3 linked regions of the Ovis aries genome follow. The protein of the gene in region 1 interacts with the protein of each later gene in a pairwise test. Links are inferred from orthologs where the notes say so. Each region holds a gene or a part of one and is shown on either strand. Other genes may lie near its edges.

What was found.
Region 2: the proteins of TEX11 (region 1) and CDKN1A interact in binary tests that used the Homo sapiens proteins (3 or more experiments, as listed by UniProt). The link is inferred for Ovis aries from reciprocal best matches to the Homo sapiens genes TEX11 and CDKN1A.
Region 3: the proteins of TEX11 (region 1) and PPP1R18 interact in binary tests that used the Homo sapiens proteins (3 or more experiments, as listed by UniProt). The two-hybrid records come from large-scale screens. The link is inferred for Ovis aries from reciprocal best matches to the Homo sapiens genes TEX11 and PPP1R18.

Annotation. Positions count from the first base shown.
Region 1 is NC_056080.1:63,637,405-63,643,537, forward strand, and holds the start of TEX11 (testis-expressed protein 11), read right to left. Parts: upstream 4,272-6,133; 5' UTR 4,208-4,271; intron 3,338-4,207; 5' UTR 3,317-3,337; coding exon 3,280-3,316; intron 1-3,279. UniProt on the Homo sapiens protein: Regulator of crossing-over during meiosis. Involved in initiation and/or maintenance of chromosome synapsis and formation of crossovers.
Region 2 is NC_056073.1:10,679,131-10,684,901, forward strand, and holds CDKN1A (cyclin-dependent kinase inhibitor 1), read left to right. Parts: upstream 1-1,945; coding exon 1,946-2,381; coding exon of another isoform or gene 2,382-2,578; exon of another isoform or gene 2,579-3,816; coding exon 3,817-3,866; downstream 3,867-5,771. UniProt on the Homo sapiens protein: Plays an important role in controlling cell cycle progression and DNA damage-induced G2 arrest. Involved in p53/TP53 mediated inhibition of cellular proliferation in response to DNA damage.
Region 3 is NC_056073.1:27,437,562-27,443,976, forward strand, and holds the start of PPP1R18 (phostensin), read left to right. Parts: upstream 1-2,210; 5' UTR 2,211-2,283; exon of another isoform or gene 2,284-2,935; intron 2,936-4,019; 5' UTR 4,020-4,046; coding exon 4,047-5,666; intron 5,667-6,415. Other genes in the region: NRM (nurim), read left to right, coding at 1-76, 681-857, 1,211-1,492.

The DNA.
Region 1 (6,133 bases):
CAAAAATTAAATCCCCAATTGCAGAATGACATTAATGTAAGAAACAAAAAGTCCTGCATTTAAGTCTCTGAAACTAACTCTACCAATATATGACAGTCAAAATGTAGCTTAATATAAGCATGTATTAAAAAAAGACTGAGGGTCTTCTGGGGACCAAAAGCTCAAAATGAGTCATTAGTATGGTGTGATTGCCAGCTCCCAAAAAAAGGAAAAAAAATTCAATCTTAGCTATAACAGTATCTAACGACAACAATGATCATTTCTAAATCTAAAGCAAAAGATTATTTTGAGCTTATCATACTGAACTGAGAGAATTGTGTTGTGTTCTGTGTACCATACTTTAAGAAATAACATGAAAAGAACAGAGCATGTTCAGAGGACAGCACACAAAATGATGAGAGGACTAGAATCCACGTAACATGAGGAATGACTAAAAGAACTAAAAATGCTGAATCTGAAGAAGAGACTTTCCAGGGACAGAAGTATTTTTAAATAGTTGAAGAGCTGACATGCAGAAAAGGAGTTACAATTATTTAGACACAATGAGTATAATTTAGACCAATTTCTGTTCCTTTTTGGCCTTGAAACTGACTAGAATTGTTGATATAAAAAGACAGATGTTATGTCAATTCTCCCTGAGAAGAAAATAAGCTAAGCCATCATATGGCCTTTTGTGATCCAATTTTATAAAACTTGACTGAAAAGGTTATGCACACAGAAGATAAAACTCAAATGGAAAATATATGAAAATATACCCAACTTTGCTACTTAACAGATATGCAAATTAAAACATCCATGTAATACATTAGAGCAATGTAAAACATTAGAGCAAATGGAACTGGCTGAGGAGTATCTAAGAACTCTCTATACTCTCTCTGTAACTACTCTGTAAATCTAAAACTGTCCTAAAATAAAATGTTACTTAAAAACAACACCACCCTTCAATCATGCACAATTTTTTAAGTCTGACAAAAGCAAATATTAGAAAGAACAATAGGGAAAGAGAAAGGAAGAGGCAGTATAAATTGTTCAACCTACTTTTGACAACGATTCAGCAATATTTGTTAAGTTAAAGATGCTTACAGCATTTCACCCAGCAGTTCAAGTTCTTAATTACAATCCAGAGTAGCACTGCCACTACAGGGTAGCCACTAGCCATATGAGCACTTGAAATGTGGCAAGTCCAAAATGAGACATGCTTTAAGTATAAAATACATACTAGACTTCAATGATTTTGAATAGAAAAGAAAAAGAATGTAAACTATTTCATTAATAATTTTTATATTGATTACATGTTGAAATGATAGCATTTTGGATATACTGAGCTAAATAATTTATATTGTTAAAATTGATTTCATCTGTTTAAGCTTTTTTAATGTGGTACAAAAAATACAAAATTCTTTACATTTGCACTATGTTTCAATTGTACAGCACTGCCCTAGAGCTTCATCCACTAGTGTTCAAGAAATAAATTAATTTAATGAGTCATAACCAACATTTACATTTTTAAAAGAGAAAGCATAGAATAGAAAATATCATTCAAAAAGCATAGAATAGAAAATATTACATACACATGCACTGTATGTAATAAGGGTAAAATGATTTCATTAAACTTTTGATACAGTGTGTATATACCAAGATGTGATGGAAAATATATTTCCTTTCCATAGGTGTTGGTGGTAGTCAAAAATGTTTGAAAGCTCCTGATAAACTCTTCAAAACACAATGTTGTAATGCTGTTGAGATTAGATAAATAAATTGTGGTACACTTATAGTCAGTGTAATAATACTAATAAGCAGTGTAAATAAATGAACTAGAACTAAAATATCTGTATGGGTAAATATCCAAAATATAATACAGAGCAAAAAAAAAAAATACAACTTGCAGGAAAAAAAATCATATAAAATGATGCAATTTATGTAATATTTCAAAGATGAAAAAAAGGCACCTTAATCTTTTAGAGAGCGTCCTTGGGGGCTCAGATGGTAAAGAATCCACCTGCAAGGCAGGAGACCTGGGTTCAATCCGTAGGTTGGGAAGATCCCCTAGAAGAGGGTATCACAACCCACTCCAATATTCTTGCCCAGATAATTCCCATGGACAGAGGAGCCTGGCAGGCTACAGTTCATGGGGTCGCAAAGAGTCAGACAAAACTGAGCAACTAAGCACAATCTTTTAGAAGTATGTGGCAAAATATGAAGATTCAACAAAACTTAGTGGTAGTTTTACAGGTCTTCACTATATTCTTAAACTTTTCTGTGTGCTTCAAATATTTATGTAAATACCAGGTCTCAAATACAATATATTTAAAAGTAATAATCCCTATTCAATGTTTTTAACCCTTAAGATGAAAGTGAAAGTCACTCAGTCCTGTCCAACTTTTTGTGACCCCATGGACTATACAGTCCATGGAATTCTCCAGGCCAGAACACTGGAGTGGATAGCCATTCCTGTCTCCAGGGGATCTTCCCAACCCAGGGATCGAACCAAGTTCTCCCAAGTTGCCGGCGGATTCTTTACCAGCTGAGCCACAAGCGAAGCCCTAAAATAGCATATCCTAAATTAAAACTTAAGGTTAAGTGGTAGTGGGCTTTGTTGTTGTTGTAAAATGATAAGCATTAACAAAACACTGACCTAAACTTTTTTAAATCACAGATTTGTAGCCAATCTGGTTATGACGTATTTCATTATTATATGAACATGAATGCAAATATACCATAGGTCTAATCATGTCCCCGCAAAAAAGAAATACGGTAAACTCTCCCATACCTGGCATGGTTGCGGAATCTGGTTTTCTAGTCAATTGAACTGCTTTTTTAACTAAGAATTCCCACAAATATCATCCATTGAGTACCAATTTTCAAAAGAATTAAGATACAATAAAATGCACTTAAACCTAATGCTACACAAGATATAATTTATTTTTCACTGATGATTATGGACAGGTACTTCAGGATCTAGCAGTAATTTTTTAAATGTCCTTTTAACACAGATTTCTATTTCAGATTAAACCAGTGTTACTATGCACGCACAACAATCCCGAGAAAACAAGCTATAAATTGTGAAATTCTATTTCCCTACACTAGTTTATAAAAGGATTCCAGTGTCTTAAACATTAACATTGTTTTCCAATACGTAAATGAGGAAACTTGGAGCTACGAATACTCTGAAGAGACAAAATTAGGAAACAAAATATATTCAGATGATCTTAGATAAGGCAGCAAATAGTTAAACATTTTCTTTACTATTTTTACATTTTCTAGTGTAAAGCTAGATACCTTTAAAGTCCATGAAACGAAAATCATTGCTGTCCATTTTGGAATCTCTGGCTCAGGCCTATGAAATAAGAAAATATTTTAATATTCTGTCCTTTATTCTCCAGCGTCGCAATAAATTTCTTTTCAAATTTTTCCTCTCAGTTCTATTCCAAAAGAAAAAATGCTGAGGAAGTTTTTAAACCCAGAAATAGCAGTTAACGAAGGCCAGGGTCAAGCTCCTGCGACGTGAACTCGGCTGAGAATATTTTTACCTCGAGTCTTCGGACAATCTGCCCCGTGACACAAAAACCGCCCTCCCCCTCCGCCCCGGGCTTGGGTTACCCTGTGATTGGTCTATCTTCTTGTTGCCTCCTCTAATTGGTTCAAAATCTCCCACTCTTGGCGCTCATACCTTCAAAGCATCCAATCACTGACCGTCCTTTTTCCCGCTCTCTGCAGACCCAGCTAGCGCCTCAGCTCCCTGCCCCCAACGGTCACGAGCCATGCAGCTCCCTGCCCCCAACGGTCACGAGCCATGCAGCTCCCTGCCCCCAACAGTCACTAACCATGCAGCTTCAACCGAATTTTAAGTCCTTCACATTCGAACTACAATAAGTATCTCCCACTTTCGGTGGCCCCACACCACTGTCCATACTTCATCCATGTCCCCAAACCCTGCCTTTTGCCCACCTTCCTTCACCCAAGAGTCAGTTCCATAGTTCAAAATCACTGCCTTAGAACCACTTTAAAAAGTATTTGCCTATGGCCGATTCATGTTAATGTCTGGCAGAGGCCATCATAATATTGTAAGGTAATGATCCTCTGATTAAAATAAATATTTTTAAGTGGTAACCTAACGGCAGCATCTCCTCGCTAATTAGAAACCACCCAACTAACTTGTACCTGACCCTCCTCTAGCACTTCCAACCAAAAAAAAAAAATCACTCACATCAGCCGGCAAAGCCGACGCCACCGTGCTCCTCCGAGTCCACAGTGCGAGTCGAGTCGTCGTCGAAGAAGAGAACAAGAGACGCTAGGAAAGCTCCTCCCCCAAAGTGACGTAAATCAAAGGACGTAAATCGCAGAGCCGTCGCAGAACGGATGTAGAGCCTGAGCTTCCAGGCACAGTCTGTACATGAAGTTCTGGGAATGCAGTTCAGAGGGCTGGGTGAGAATCACTGAGAGTGAGGGAGTATAGTGCAATACTAAAACATACTGCAGTTACTACGGGAAGAGTGCAGATGGTGAGGGTTACAGAAAAGAGGAGAGCAGGTCTTCGAAAGAAAAAAAAAGGAGAGAGGAAGAAAGGAAAGAAAAGGAAGTAAAATAAACAATGTTGCCCACTGATATTCAAGAGTAGCAAAGGTCAGAAATATCAGAAGTTGAGACTGAAAAACCCTGAGTTCCAAGATATGTTTCTGCTGCCCTGCCCTTGTCAAGTCTTAAGAAAAATACCCAATGACTCCCCTGCAGGTTCACAGCAAGGGCATGGCACCTACCCATCTCCAAACAAATGATTTCATTGATGGTGTATAATATATATATATGAATATGTTTGATTCCAGCTAAATCTATGGGTGATGCTTGCAAGGAAGGAGTTGGCCTCTGCTGAAATCTCCACTCAGAGACAGCAGTGTTAGACATGATGTCTCCATATTTGGAGACACCCCATATCAAAACATTAACAAGCCTCCCACATCTTGCCTCACATACCCCTTTTTTAAGCCCTGTACATCTCAGTCAAGCCAGATGCAGAGCTGGCTAACAAGATGAAGAGAAGAGATTATGGCTTCAAATCTGGGAACACTAACAGAGCTTCCTCGCAACCCTGAGAGTCTCAGATTAGTCATTATTTACTATGGAAAAGATGAGATTTCTAAAAATAATTTCTTTTCCCTCTTCAAAATTTTCTGCATCTAAATCACATAGTATCATGAAGAAAAGGAGTAAAACAGGAAGTACTGCTGTTAAATACTTAAAGTACTGCTGTTAAATACTTTTCTTTTGGATCCTCCTCTATTAAACCCTGGTATATAATTCACAATCCTAGATTGCTAAATTAGGGGAAGAAATATGGTAGAAAAGGGCAATGTGTGTGTGTGTTCAGTTGCTTAGTTGCGTCCAACTCTTTATGACCCCATAAACTGTAGCCTACCAAGTTCCTCTGTCCATGGGATTTTCCAAACAAGAATACTAGAATGGTATTTCCTCCTCCAGGGGATTTTCCTGATGGAGGGATCAAACCTGCATCTCCTGCATTAGCAGATGGATTCTTTGCCACCTGGAAAGCCCAAAAGCAGTAGAGTATCCCATAATTGACTGAATATGCACTACATACTGTGTGGCCTAGAGCTAGCTACTTAGAATCTCAGTACGTCAATTTCCCCATCTGTGAAAGCGAAAAGTGAAAGTGAAGTCGCTCAGTCGTGTCTGACTCTTTGCGACCCCATGGACAGTAGCCTGCACCAGGCTCTTCCGTCCATTGGAATTTCTAGGCAAGAGTACTGGAGTGGATTGCCATTTCCTTCTCCAGGGAATCTTCCTGACCCAGGGATCAAACCCAGGTCTCCTGCGTTGTAGACAGACGCTTTACCGTCTGAGCCACCAGGGAAGTCTAATAAAAATCATTCGGAGAAGGCACTGGCATCCCACTGCAGTACTCTTGTCTGGAAAACCCCTGGACGGAGGAGCCTGGAAGGCTGCAGTCCATGGGGTCGCGAAGAGTCAGACACGACTGAATGACTTCACTTTCACTTTTCACTTTCATGCATTGGAGAAGGAAATGGCAACTCACTCCAGTACTCTTGCCTGGAGAATTCCAGGGACGGGGGAGCCTGGTGGGCTGCCGTCTATGGGGTCGTCTATGGTAGGTACT
Region 2 (5,771 bases), on another chromosome or scaffold:
CCTCTCTCTATGTGGTATGTGGCAGCTTGAGTAGACGCTATTGATCTTTTTAACCGTGTGGGTTCAGGGCAAGTCTTAAAACTCCTGCCCTTTAAACTCGGTCAGAGGTCATCTAGTGCCCTCCCCTCCCCTGTGTGCTGAGACTTGGAGCTGTGGGCTTCACTCACTGTGAGAGGTGGAGTGGGGACAGGTAGGTATGGTGTGGGTCCAGGGCTGCTTGCCCCAGGAGGACCCTCAGCAGGGCTTTCACCTTCAGAGCCTGCAAATCAGGACGTGTCCCCAGGAAAACCCAGTCCCTGTTAAAGTCATGCAGGTGCTCAGACCTGGAGTCAAGCCAGAGCCGGGCAGGGAGGTGCCAGCACCCCCTCATGGGCAGGCTCACCTTCAGTGTTCCCTCTCCTTTAGTTTTCCCTCTCCCACTTTAGTGGGAGGAGAGGAGCCAGGTAGACCGGTGCCTTTAATTTTCTTTGCCTGCAAAACGGGTTCCTTGGATGCAGGCAGAATGGGGCAGGGGCTTCCAGGTTGTCTAGACTTCAGGTCACCTGATGTACCTGGCAGGATGTGGCTCAGCCTGGGAGAAATCATTGCTCTGCCCTGCCCTGCCTGGCTCCTCCTTACCCGCAGGCTGCCTGCCTGATGACATCCTTGGGAAAGGCCCTCAGCCCACAACACCTGTCAGCTGCTGTCTGAAGGAGGCGGTGGCCCAGGTGGAGTGATGGGGAGGAGTCAGCCAGAACTAAAGGCAGAGAGAAATAATATTCTCCAAACACTTTCTCTGTACTTGGTACGGCTCAGAGGGCGTTATCTACAACCGCTTAGCGAATTCTCACATCTGGCCTCTGAGACAGTCGCTGTTGTTATCTCCTTCTAGAAATGACACCAGAAATAGATGTCCCTTTCATCATAGGCGACTGGAATGTAAAAGTAGGAACTCAGGAGGTACCTGGAGTTACAGGCAAGTTTAGCCTTGGAGTACAAAGTGAAGCAGGGCAAATGGAGTTTTGCCAAGGGAACGCACTAGTTACAGCAAACACCCTCGTCCAACATACACAAGAGACAACTCTACACATGGAAATCTCCATCTTATACAGGAGGAAAACAGAACCCAGAGAAGTTAAGCCACTTGTCGAAGGTTGCCCAGCAGAGCCTGGATTCCAACCCAAGTGGCCTGGTTCCAAAGCCCTCACCTTGAACCACCAAGATACAGCCGTTGAACTCTGCTCCATCTGCCTTGCCTGGCGGGGCCCGCCAATCATTTCCTTGAGCCTGCGTCTACAGCCCCACTCTTTAGACATGTATGCAGTCCCATTTTACAGATGAGGAAACTGAGGCCGGGGGACTTGAAGTGACTCTTTGAAAGTTGAGGTAGGAAGTGGCAGAGCGAGGACTAGAACCCAGGTGCTTTTAACCCCAAAATCCAGAGTAGTTTTAAGTCACTGAGCAGGATTACTCCACATGAGCATCTAGATGGAGGGATTTGAGAGGAGGCATCCATTTTCTTGGGAATTGACCTCCCCGGCCAGGCCTGGAGTTAGGAAACTGCTGGACTCTGACAATTCACACATACCTGGGGGCATTCACACCCATGAGGGACACCTCAGTGGGAAAAACAAATTGATTTTAGCTGATAACACCCAGTGGTAAACAGGACCCTGATCCCTGCTATTGCAATAAACTTGCCTTTGTTGACATAAACTTGCCCTTCAGCTGCCCACTCCCCCAGTGACCTGGGGGTGTCAGGCTGACTGACTCTGCCCCTCACACCCTTTCTGTGGGTGGAGGTTGGGAGAGCCTGTGGGAGGAACCCGAGAGCCCCTCTCACCTCACTTTCTAGTAAGGAGACTGCGCCTGAGGTTACGCAGTGGCATGGCCCAGAGAGGGAGCGTCCGACTTCCTGAGTGTCTCACGTGCCCCGGGTCTTCCTTGTGTTCCAGCCACAGGTGCCATGTCTGAGCCGTCCAGGGACGCGCATCAGATCCCCCGCAGCAGCAAGGCCTGCCGCTGCCTCTTTGGTCCAGTGGACAGCGAGCAGCTGCGCCAGGACTGCGACGCCCTCATGGCCAGCTGCGTGCAGGAGGCCCGAGAGCGATGGAACTTCGACTTTGTCACCGAGACGCCCCTGGAGGGGGACTTTGCCTGGGAGCGTGTGAGGGGCCTCGGCCTGCCCAAGCTCTACCTGCCCGTGGGGCCCCGAGACGATGTGGGAGGGGGCAAGCGGCCGAGCCCCTCATCCGCCCTGCTGCAGGGCACGTCTCAGGAGGACCACTTGGACCTGTCGCTGTCCTGCACCCTCGTGACTCGCTCCCCTGAGCGGCCCGAGGGGACCCCTGGTGGGCCTGGTCCCTCCCAGGGCCGGAAACGGCGCCAGACCAGCATGACAGGTGAGGACGGGAGCAGAGGTGGCGGCAAGGGATTAGGACTCCCAGAACTCACTGTGCCAGGGCTGACCTGTCTGGCCCAGCTTACTCATCGCTCTGAGGGGTGGGAAACAGGCCCAGAGAGGGGAAGTGGCTTGCCTGAGGTCACACAGCAAGTCTACTACCAAGACCAATTAGCTGACATTTATTTGGAACATTGACTATGTGCCAGGACCTTTGATAAGTGTCTAGATTTCTTTTAGTCCTTATAGTGATCTAATATCATAGGACATTCTTGGCATCCTTTTACAGGCAAAGGAACAGGACTCTGAGAGGTAGAATGGTTTGCCTTAGGTCCCACACTGAATTTACCATGGAGAGTAAATGAATGATAATTTCCTGGCTGCCTTATCCAAACCTAACTCGCCTTCCCCTTCATACATACACACCTTCACCTGCACTTCCTAGCCTATTTTTCTCTTTTTGGCACTTTTTAAACTATCAACAGCTACTTCCATATTTTGATATAGTCCATCTTCCCAAATAGAATCCTATCATCTCCACAAGAAAGAAATCTGTATCTCTCTTGTTCATAATTGAGTCCTCAGCACCTTGGATGGTGTGTGACACATAGTAGGTGCTTGAGGGAAATGGAATAAGTGAGGCTGGCAGTTGAACACTATGCCAGGCCTTCAGCCAACGTCTTTTTATTTTTTACTTTACAAATGTATTACTGTTATTATTTTGGCTGTACGGCTTGTGGGATCTTAATTCCCTGAGCAAGGACAGAACCCAGGCCACCTCTGTTGAGCGCAAGGAGTCTTAGCCACTGGACCACCAGGGAAGTCCCCACCAAGGTCTTTCCGGAAACATTTCATTTAATCCTCTGAGCATCGTACCAGCGTTATCCTCATTTTATAGGTGAGGAAATGGAAGCTTGGAGCAGTGCAGCCAAGAATCCCACAGCACATTTGCAGCTGGGTCAAAACTAACAATAATGATAATAATAATAACTAACCTTTATATGGCTCAGACATCATGCAGAACGCTCTCTGATATATCAGGCTCTGCAAAGAAGCAGATGCCCAGTACCGCTGGCCACATATCACTGCTGAGTGTTTGCCATGAGGAACTAAATTTTTCTATTAGTCTAATGCTAGTTAATTTAAACAGCCGCCTAGGGTTAGCGACCACTGCATTTGGGCAGCTTGGCTTAAAGCAGGCCCATGCATGTAAAGTCTGTTATTGATCACGTCTGTGAAGCGTGGGGGGATGTCCTGTATGTATGTAGCCCTCCGGGAGAGAGGCTAGAAGTTTCCAGAGTTCTTCCCTATACTTGGCAATGTGTCTCTCGGGCCCTGGGGAGGGGTCCCTGGCCCCTCTGCAGGTTGCACTGCGCAGGTGGCTCTGCTGGGCCCTCTTCCTCCTGACCTGGCTGACATCTGTTCTCTCCCCCCAGATTTCTACCACTCCAAACGCAGGCTGATCTGCTCCAAGAGGAAGCCCTAACCCCGCTGCTGGAAGCACGTCCTCGTGGAAACAGGGGCCCACTGCAGGCCTCTTCTGTACCTTTTGCCTTGGTCCTTCAGTTTGTGCGTCTTAATTATTATTTGTGTTTTAATTTAAACGCCTCCTCTTGTACATACCCTGCTTGCTGCCACCCTTCCCACACCCCCAGCCTCTGGAATTATTTAAAAAAGAAAAAAATTAGCAGAAAAAATAGGCTTATTAGATTGCTAGGTATTTTTATTATATGAACCGTTATTTAAACCCTCCTCATTCTTTGCTCGGAGAAGGCAATGGCACCCCACTCCAGCACTCTTGCCTGGAAAATCCCATGGGCGGAGCAGCCTGGTAGGCTGCAGTCCATGGGGTCGCTAAGAGCTGGACACGACTGAGCAACTTCACTTTCACTTTTCACTTTCATGCATTGGAGAAGGAAATGGCAACCCACTCCAGTGTTCTTGCCTGGAAAATCCCATGGGCGGAGCAGCCTGGTAGGCTGCAGTCCATGGGGTCGCTAAGAGCTGGACACGACTGAGCAACTTCACTTTCACTTTTCACTTTCATGCATTGGAGAAGGAAATGGCAACCCACTCCAGTGTTCTTGCCTGGGGAATCCCAGGGACGGGGGAGCCTGGTGGGCTGCCATCTATGGGGTCACACAGAGTCGGACACGACTGAAGTGACTTAGCAGCAGCAGCAGCATCCTTTGCTTTCCTCGTCCTCGCTCCTCTGAGGCTGGCGTGACCCCCATCCTCTGGGTGGCACTCTCTGGAGGGGCCTGGTTCCCTCCCCCCTGCCATCTGATGGGTGTTACGAAGTCTCGCCCCCTCTTTCCTGCATTCTCAGACCTGAATTCCTTACAATCTGAGAAGTAAATAGATAGCACTTTGAAGGGGGCCCAACAGAGTTGGAGGCATCATCAAAACTTTGGGTTCCCCTTGCCCCTCTAAGGTTGGGCAGGGTGACCCTGAAGTGGGCACAGCCTGGAAATGGGGCTGCGGGATTGGACACCCTTCTGGCCCTTGATTCCCACCTCCGTCCTGTGAAGGCATGGGGAAGGTAGGGGCCCGTAGCAAACCACCCCTGCCTCCCACCCCCCCACCCCCATCCTCAGGGGAGCCAATCTCAGTGTTTGGCTTCCCTGTCCCCTGCATTTTTCCAGGAGCCCCAGAGGCCCCTGTTTCCCAGCCAGGCTCTCAGTCCCTCTCTGCTCCTCTCCCTTCCTCCATGCCCTTTCCCTTTAGTATCTTCTCAGCCCTGGGTGGCAGCTCTGAGGGGGTGCCCTAACCCCCAACTCAGTGGACTGGTGGAGGAAAGGACATGCTAGACATAGGGTTCCCCAGTTCTACCTCAAGCAGCGACTGCCCCCTGCTCTTAGCTCTTGGGGTGGGGGGTCCTGGGTGGTCAGGCAGGCCTCCTTGAATGGGGATCTCTCTGTGTTAGGGGTAGGTGGGTGAGGAGCAGATTTTTCCAGGAGGGACAGTGTGACACCAGCCCCTGGAACTCGTCCAAGGACTTTTTCCATTGGCCCCACCCCTTCCCCCATTTCATTGCACTTTGAATAACAGCTGAAGGAGTCAGATGGCGGGAACAGAGGCTGTGGATAGGATATGCTAAGTGGGCAAATATGGGTCTGGGAGCTGTGAGTCATTGTCTTTCCTGGCGCGGAACCTCTTGGTGGGCCTGAGCCCAGATGCCTTCCAGCTCCTGTAGCATCCTGGCCTGGACTGTTTTCTCCTGGCTCCCATACGTCCTGTTTCTTCTGTCTCCACCTAGACTGGAAGCCCCTCAAGGGCAGGGAGTAAGTCCTGTACTGCTCTGTGTGCTTCAAAGCCCCGCCCACAGTGCTGAGTATACAGCAGGTGCTCAATAAATACTCCTGATGACTTTACTCATAATATTAGTGTT
Region 3 (6,415 bases), on another chromosome or scaffold:
GAAGGAATGGATGTCCCGGTACTTTGGGGTCCTTCAGAGGTCACTGTACGTGGCATGCACTGCCCTGGCCTTGCAGGTATGAAGCCCTGGCAGCTGAGTCCTCAAGGGAAACAGCATGTGTGAAGGATGTCATTGATTGGAGCTGCAAGAACCTCAGGCTTCGGATAAAGTGTGGGTTTAGGAGGAGAACTGAGGGTGTTCAGGACTAGTCTCAGCTCCCGTTATTTCACAGCACACATTTCTCCTTTTTATCAAGAAGTATGTACTGCTTGTCATCCCCTACGCATGATGTGTGCATTCTCACCTTTGCAACTTCGTTCCTGTTGTCCCGCTTGAGAGTGCCTTGGTAACACCTCTTCAGTCTTATCCTTTCTTCAAAAGCACTTCCCTAGATCTCAAGAGAAAGCTTCCCGGTTAGTACTCACCTGTCTCCTCAGTGGGTGCTTGGCATAGGCTATTTTGTGTGCCTATGTGGTCACCCTCATCCATTCTCTAAGTCCTCAGAGTGGAGACAAGTCATTCTTACATCCTTAGGACCCCACCCAGCACCCTCCACATGGTGAACATGCTCATGATAGAGGTGGGGGGAACAGCTGGCCAGCCTGGACTGGAGGCAGCCCCTGGGTCTGGGTCTGTCAAGGGTGGGCTGCTGGGAAACCCAGTTCCTCTTCCTTCCTCAGCTGGTGATGCGGTACTGGGAGCCTGTGCCCAGGGGTCCTGTGTTGTGGGAGGCTCGGGCTGAGCCATGGGCCACTTGGGTGCCCCTCCTCTGCTTTGTCCTCCACGTCATTTCCTGGCTCCTCATCTTCAGCATCCTTCTCGTCTTCGACTACGCAGAGCTCATGGGCCTGAAACAGGTGAGGCTCCCAGATCCCTACCCAAGACATCTGATCCTTTCTAGAATACCTCTTTCCCCTCCAAGGATGTCCCTGTGCCTCCCATTGTCTTCCACCTGCCTCTTGTTTTTGAGCCCTTCACCTCCCTTTCTTATAAGACAGTCTCCCCCCAGCCCTCCCTCAAAGGCTAGGAATCATGGGCTTCTTGGGCCTGGGAAGGTTCATGGGCCAGAGATGAGGGTCAGGGACCTCCAGTCTCAGGAGGGTGGTTCCTGAGCCTGTCATAGAAGGAGGGTGCCCAGGACGGGAGGAAAGAGGCAGTTAAGTTGTGACAAGGGCTTGGCTCCATTCCTAAGCCATTCTCCCTCTGCTAGGTGTACTACCATGTGCTGGGGCTGGGCGAGCCTCTGGCCCTGAAGTCGCCCCGGGCTCTGAGACTCTTCTCCCACCTGCGCCATCCAGTGTGCGTGGAGCTGCTGACAGTGCTATGGGTGGTACCCACCCTGGGCACTGACCGCCTGCTCCTTGCTCTCCTCCTTACCCTCTACCTGGGCCTGGCTCACGGACTGGACCAGCATGATCTCCGCTATCTCCGGGCCCAGCTACAAAGAAAACTCCACCTGCTCTCCCGGCCCCAGGATGGGGAGGCCGAGTAAGGGGTTAACCCTGGTTGCAAGCCCTGTACTTCCTCTCTCCCTCCTATCCCAAATTCCCTTAACATCTAGGCCTTGGCTGCTTCAGACCAGAGGCCCAAATCCATGGACTGAAGGAGTGGTCCCTTTCCTTGCTTGAGCCTCCACTCCTTGGTTCCAGCTCCATACTGAATTTCAGCCATTGGACTCCAAGGGCCACTTCTCACCAGCCAGGAAGGAGTGGCTGGGAACTTCTTCTCACAGTTCAGGGCTTGACCCTCCGTTAACAATTTCCTCACCAAGAGAAGAGTCTGGCTTGACCACTCCCTTAGCCCTGTTACTACCCTCTGTGCCTCAGGGATCCTTTCTCCACGTCTAGCTCCCTCCCAGGGGCTGGACCGAGGCCCACTGTCTGGCCTTTTCAGCTCCCTAGGCCCCGACCCTAGGCTCCATCCTCCTGAACCTAGTTGAGCGGTTTCTCCCGTTCTTAGCTAAGGTGACTAGAGGCTCCCTGCTTTCCCGAGGAACTCACGCTACAGGAAAATAAAATTCAGTCTGGTTTTTCTACGTGTAGAATGCAGTCTGTCAGTGTCTCTCAAAGCTGCAGGGCTGGCTCTGGGAAAGGCGAGTTACATTGGAGTCTGGGCATCGGCCGCGCCTTCTGGTGACCGCTGGGCGGCGGCCACTCCCCGCGCACCCAGCCCTCCACCCCCTTCCCGGAGCACCCGGTCCCCCTTCCTCCAAATCTCCCAATTTCCTTGCTGCAGACCCGGGTGGGGGACGGGCTGAAACGGAAGAGTGGGGAGACGGTTCGGGTAAGGGAGCGAGCTTCCGAAACCGTTGTCTTCCCAGCCCTGCTCCTGTGGCCGCCCCCTCCCCACGGGCCCCGCAAGCGCCCCCACGGTAACAAAGGCTGGCCCGGGAAGGCAAAAGCGTGGGGAGGAGCGGCAGGAGATGGGAAGGGCGGGCCCGGCTCCGAGCAGCTGCCGCTTCCTCCCGAAGTCCCTCGAGGGGTCTGAGTCACGGGCCGCCGCCCCGGCTTGGCTAGCTGGGGGTGGGGGTCTGGACACCTGGGCTGTCCAGGGTTACCGGGCGGCAGCCGCGTGAGAGGCCCTGGGGAAGGACCGCGGAGTGCCGGGGATCGCGGCGGGAAAACAGGAGTCCCGGGGCCGAGGATCCACGCGGGGGACCCGGGGAGCGAGGCTCCGCCCCCGCGCCCGGCTCCGCCCAGCGCCCCCTTCCCTCTCCCCATTGTCCTCAGACAAAGCGGCGGCCGCCCCCCGCTCGGCCCCCGGGTCTGTCTCCGTCCCTCCCCTTCTCCTCCCTTCCCCCCTCCCGCGCCCCCCGCGCCCCCCCCCACCTCCTGCCCCGGATCTCCCTCTATCCCTCTCTCCTCCTCTTCCTCTCTCCTCCTCTCTCCGGACGTCAGGCTCCTTCGCACCCCCTCCCCCGGGAGCCCCGCGGCATGTGAGTTGACCCAGGGGCTTCAGACTTGGGGAGGGGGTGTCCCCTCCCTTCCGTCCCGGGCGCGGACCTCGGGCTGCCTCTCCTCTCTTTGTGCCGAGATTGCCCGTCAGTGCGGTCATAGCCGGGTGGGGACGGCTGGCGAGGTCGGGGTTCCATGAGCGCCGAGACCCCGGCGCGAGACTGGCCGGCTCCGGAGAGAAGCGGTGTGGAGCCGGTGCTCCGTACGCCTGAGGCGCTCGCTCGCCCGGGACCCCGGGGCATCGCCGGTGGGGGAGGCCGGCGGCGGGGCCCGGACCGGGTTAGGGTTGGTGGGGGGTGGACGCCAGGGTTCTGGGAACGAGCTGGCAGCTCCGATCGCCGGGTTCCGAAAGTCCCCGGGGGAGGGTATTTCCCCTGGCCCGCCCCGGGGCGGAGTGCAGGGCGGAGGGGTGGGGGCTGGGGGGTCTGAGAGGCGTGGCTCAAGCGGAGCTGGAAGGGGAGCCCGGACCTCCGGGGCCCGCGCCGAGACTCGCCCGGCTACAGCCGCCGAGCTCCCTCGCCCCTCTGCCCCCGATTCCCCCTTCTCCCCTGGACCTGTCCACTCTCCGCCCTCCCACCTTCCCGACACCCCTTCAGGTCCCACTGCCCCCTCTCCGCCGGGGATCCCGCTGACCTCGCTTCCCACTCCCGCCGCTCCTGAGGTAGCGGTCAGGCAACCTCGGTCGGATCCTGCCCCGCTCACCCCCAGCCTCTCTTCTCTCTTCTCCCTCGTGCCAGCTTCTTTCGTTTTTCCCTCTTCTCACAACCTGGGGACTGTCTCTGATGCCCAGTAACCTGTACCCACAAATCTGACTCCTGTCTCTTTGCCCTGAATCTCCACTGTTCCTCTCGACCCACCTCCCCCAACCCCATCACCTGGCTCTTAGTTTCCTCTTCACTTTCTCAGGTTTTCCCCTTTCTCTGCTCCCCTCCGCCGCCCCCTTTCCTACTGTCCTCACCCTCAGCTCCTCTGTGACCCACCTCTCCCCCTGCTTCCTCTCCCCCACCCCCATTCTCACCTCCTGGGCCCCTCTGGAGCCTCTCCTTCCTGTTCTCTGCCCCCCAGCGTTCCCCCACCCTCCCCAAGGCGACCATGGCCACCATCCCAGACTGGAAGCTACAGCTGCTAGCCCGGCGCCGGCAGGAAGAGGCAGCCGTTCGCGGCCGTGAGACGGCAGAGCGGGAGCGGCTGTCGCAGATGCCAGCCTGGAAGCGGGGCCTTCTGGAGCGCCGCCGGGCCAAGCTTGGTCTGTCTCCTGGGGAGCCTAGCCCTGCGCCTGGGACTACGGAGGCTGGACCTCCAAACCCAGACGAGTCTGCTGTCCTCCTGGAGGCCATTGGGCCTGTGCACCAGAACCGATTTATCCGGCAAGAGCGCCAGCAGCAGCAGCAGCAGCAGCAGCAGCAGCAACAGCAGCGGAGTGAAGAGCTACTCACGGACAAACGGCCTGGACCTTTGGAGACCCGGGGGCGGAGACCCAGCCCCGGGGAGACACGGGATCCCAGCCCCAAGGGAAGAGAGTCCAGGGAAGAGCGGCTCAGTCCTAGGGAGGCCAGAGAGAAGAGGCTGGGGATAGGGGGCGCTCGAGAGTCGAGCCCCAGGCCTTTGGAGTCTCGGGACTGGAGGCAGAGCCCAGGAGAGGCTGGAGACAGGAGCTCTAGACTGTCAGAGGTGCGGAAATGGAGGCTGAGCCCTGGAGAAACTCCTGAGCGGAGTTTGAGACTGGCAGAGCCCCGAGAACAAAGCCCCAGGAGAACAGAGGTGGTGGACAGTAAACGGAGCCCCGAAGAGTCTGACAACCAGAAGCTGGGCCTGACAGACTCCCATAAATGGAGGCCTGACCCCAAAGAGTCTCCGGGACAGAGTTTGGGACAACTGGAGGCATCAGAGTGGAGGCCGAGTTCAGGAGAAGAAAGAAAAGACTGCTCAGAGGAATGGGGGAGAAAAGACGAGAGGCCGATTCCAAGAATGGACCCAGAAGGGACCACAGCGTCGTCAGAGACCCCAACAAGGGAGGCTCCAGACAGTCGCTCTGCAGGACCAGAGGGAGCAGAAGAAAGGCCCAGCCCCGTAGAGGATGGCGAGAGGGGCCTGCGGCCCCCGGAAGGATGGAAATGGACCCTGAACTCTGGGAAGGCCCGAGACTGGACACCCAGGGACACAGAGCCTCAGCCCCAGAAACCAGACACTCCAGAGTCTGTTGAGAAGCACGTGGGTCCTTTGGGTGCAGAGGCTGAGAAGGAGGAGGCGGGCGCTCAGAGCAGGCCTCTGGGCGCCCTGCAGGACCGCTGCTCTGCGCCCTCCCCCCTCTCCCCAGAGGACGCCGGGACTGGAGCCTCTAGACGGCAGGAAGAGGAAGCAGGGGAACTCCGGCCCCCACCCGCAGCCCCTCTGTCTCCCCCACCCCCAGCCCCACCTGCCCCCCAGTCCCTTGGGGATCCCCTCATGAGCCGGCTCTTCTACGGGGTGAAGGCAGGGCCAGGGGTGGGGGCCCCCCGCCGCAGCGGACACACCTTCACAGTCAACCCCCGGCGGTCCGCGCCCCCTGCAGCCCCTGCCACTCCAGCCGCCCCAGCCACAGCTGACACGGCGGTCCCTGGGGCTGGGAAGAAGCGGTACCCGACTGCCGAGGAGATCTTGGTTCTGGGGGGCTACCTCCGCCTCAGCCGCAGCTGCCTTGTCAAGGGGTCCCCTGAAAGGCGCCACAAACAGGTAGGGAGCAGCCAACCCAGACTTCTTGGCCAGCCCCCCATCACTGCTCTGTGGACTCCTGTCTCTCTCCCTTTTTTTATACCTCTGTATCCTTGTCTTCATCTATTCTTGTTCATTCCTGCTGCCACCCTTCCTCCCCTGAACACACACCCTTCCTTCTTGTGGCCCTTCTTTTCCATTCATTTCCCAGCCCAAGGAGCCTGCTCCGCAATCAGGCTCGCTGTCCTGGGTGTGTCTCTCTCAGGGTGTGCCCAGGCTCCTCACTCTTCTCTCCCTCAGGCTCTGAGTTCACCCCCCCATGCTTTCCATTCCCGAGTCTCTGACCCAGCCCAGCCCATCTGGGTGGGAGACCAGAATTGAGGCCACAGCCTGGAATCTATGGGGGCAGGGTCTGCAGGGCAAAAGTGGGCAAAAGAATGCTGGGGTAGGAAGCCTGGGGAGGCAGAGGGGTTCGGGTTTTAGGGAGAAATGGCAGGGAGAAGCGAGTGGAGGAACATCTCACAGACCCAAGGAAGGGGGGGCTGCAGAGCGGAGTGGGGACATCCTAGGATAGTGGGGGAGGGGAGTGGAACAGGGGCTAGCCAAGGAGCAGAGAGAAGGCTTTTGAACCCCGAGTCTGCCCCATGGGAGAGATGCACACAGAGGCCATTTGAAGTGGGTGACCTCGGGGTTGCACATCCCCAGCTGGGCCACGGCTTCAGACAGTGCTCCCTTCTCTCTTGGGACAAGAAAAGCCTTCTCCTCTTCCA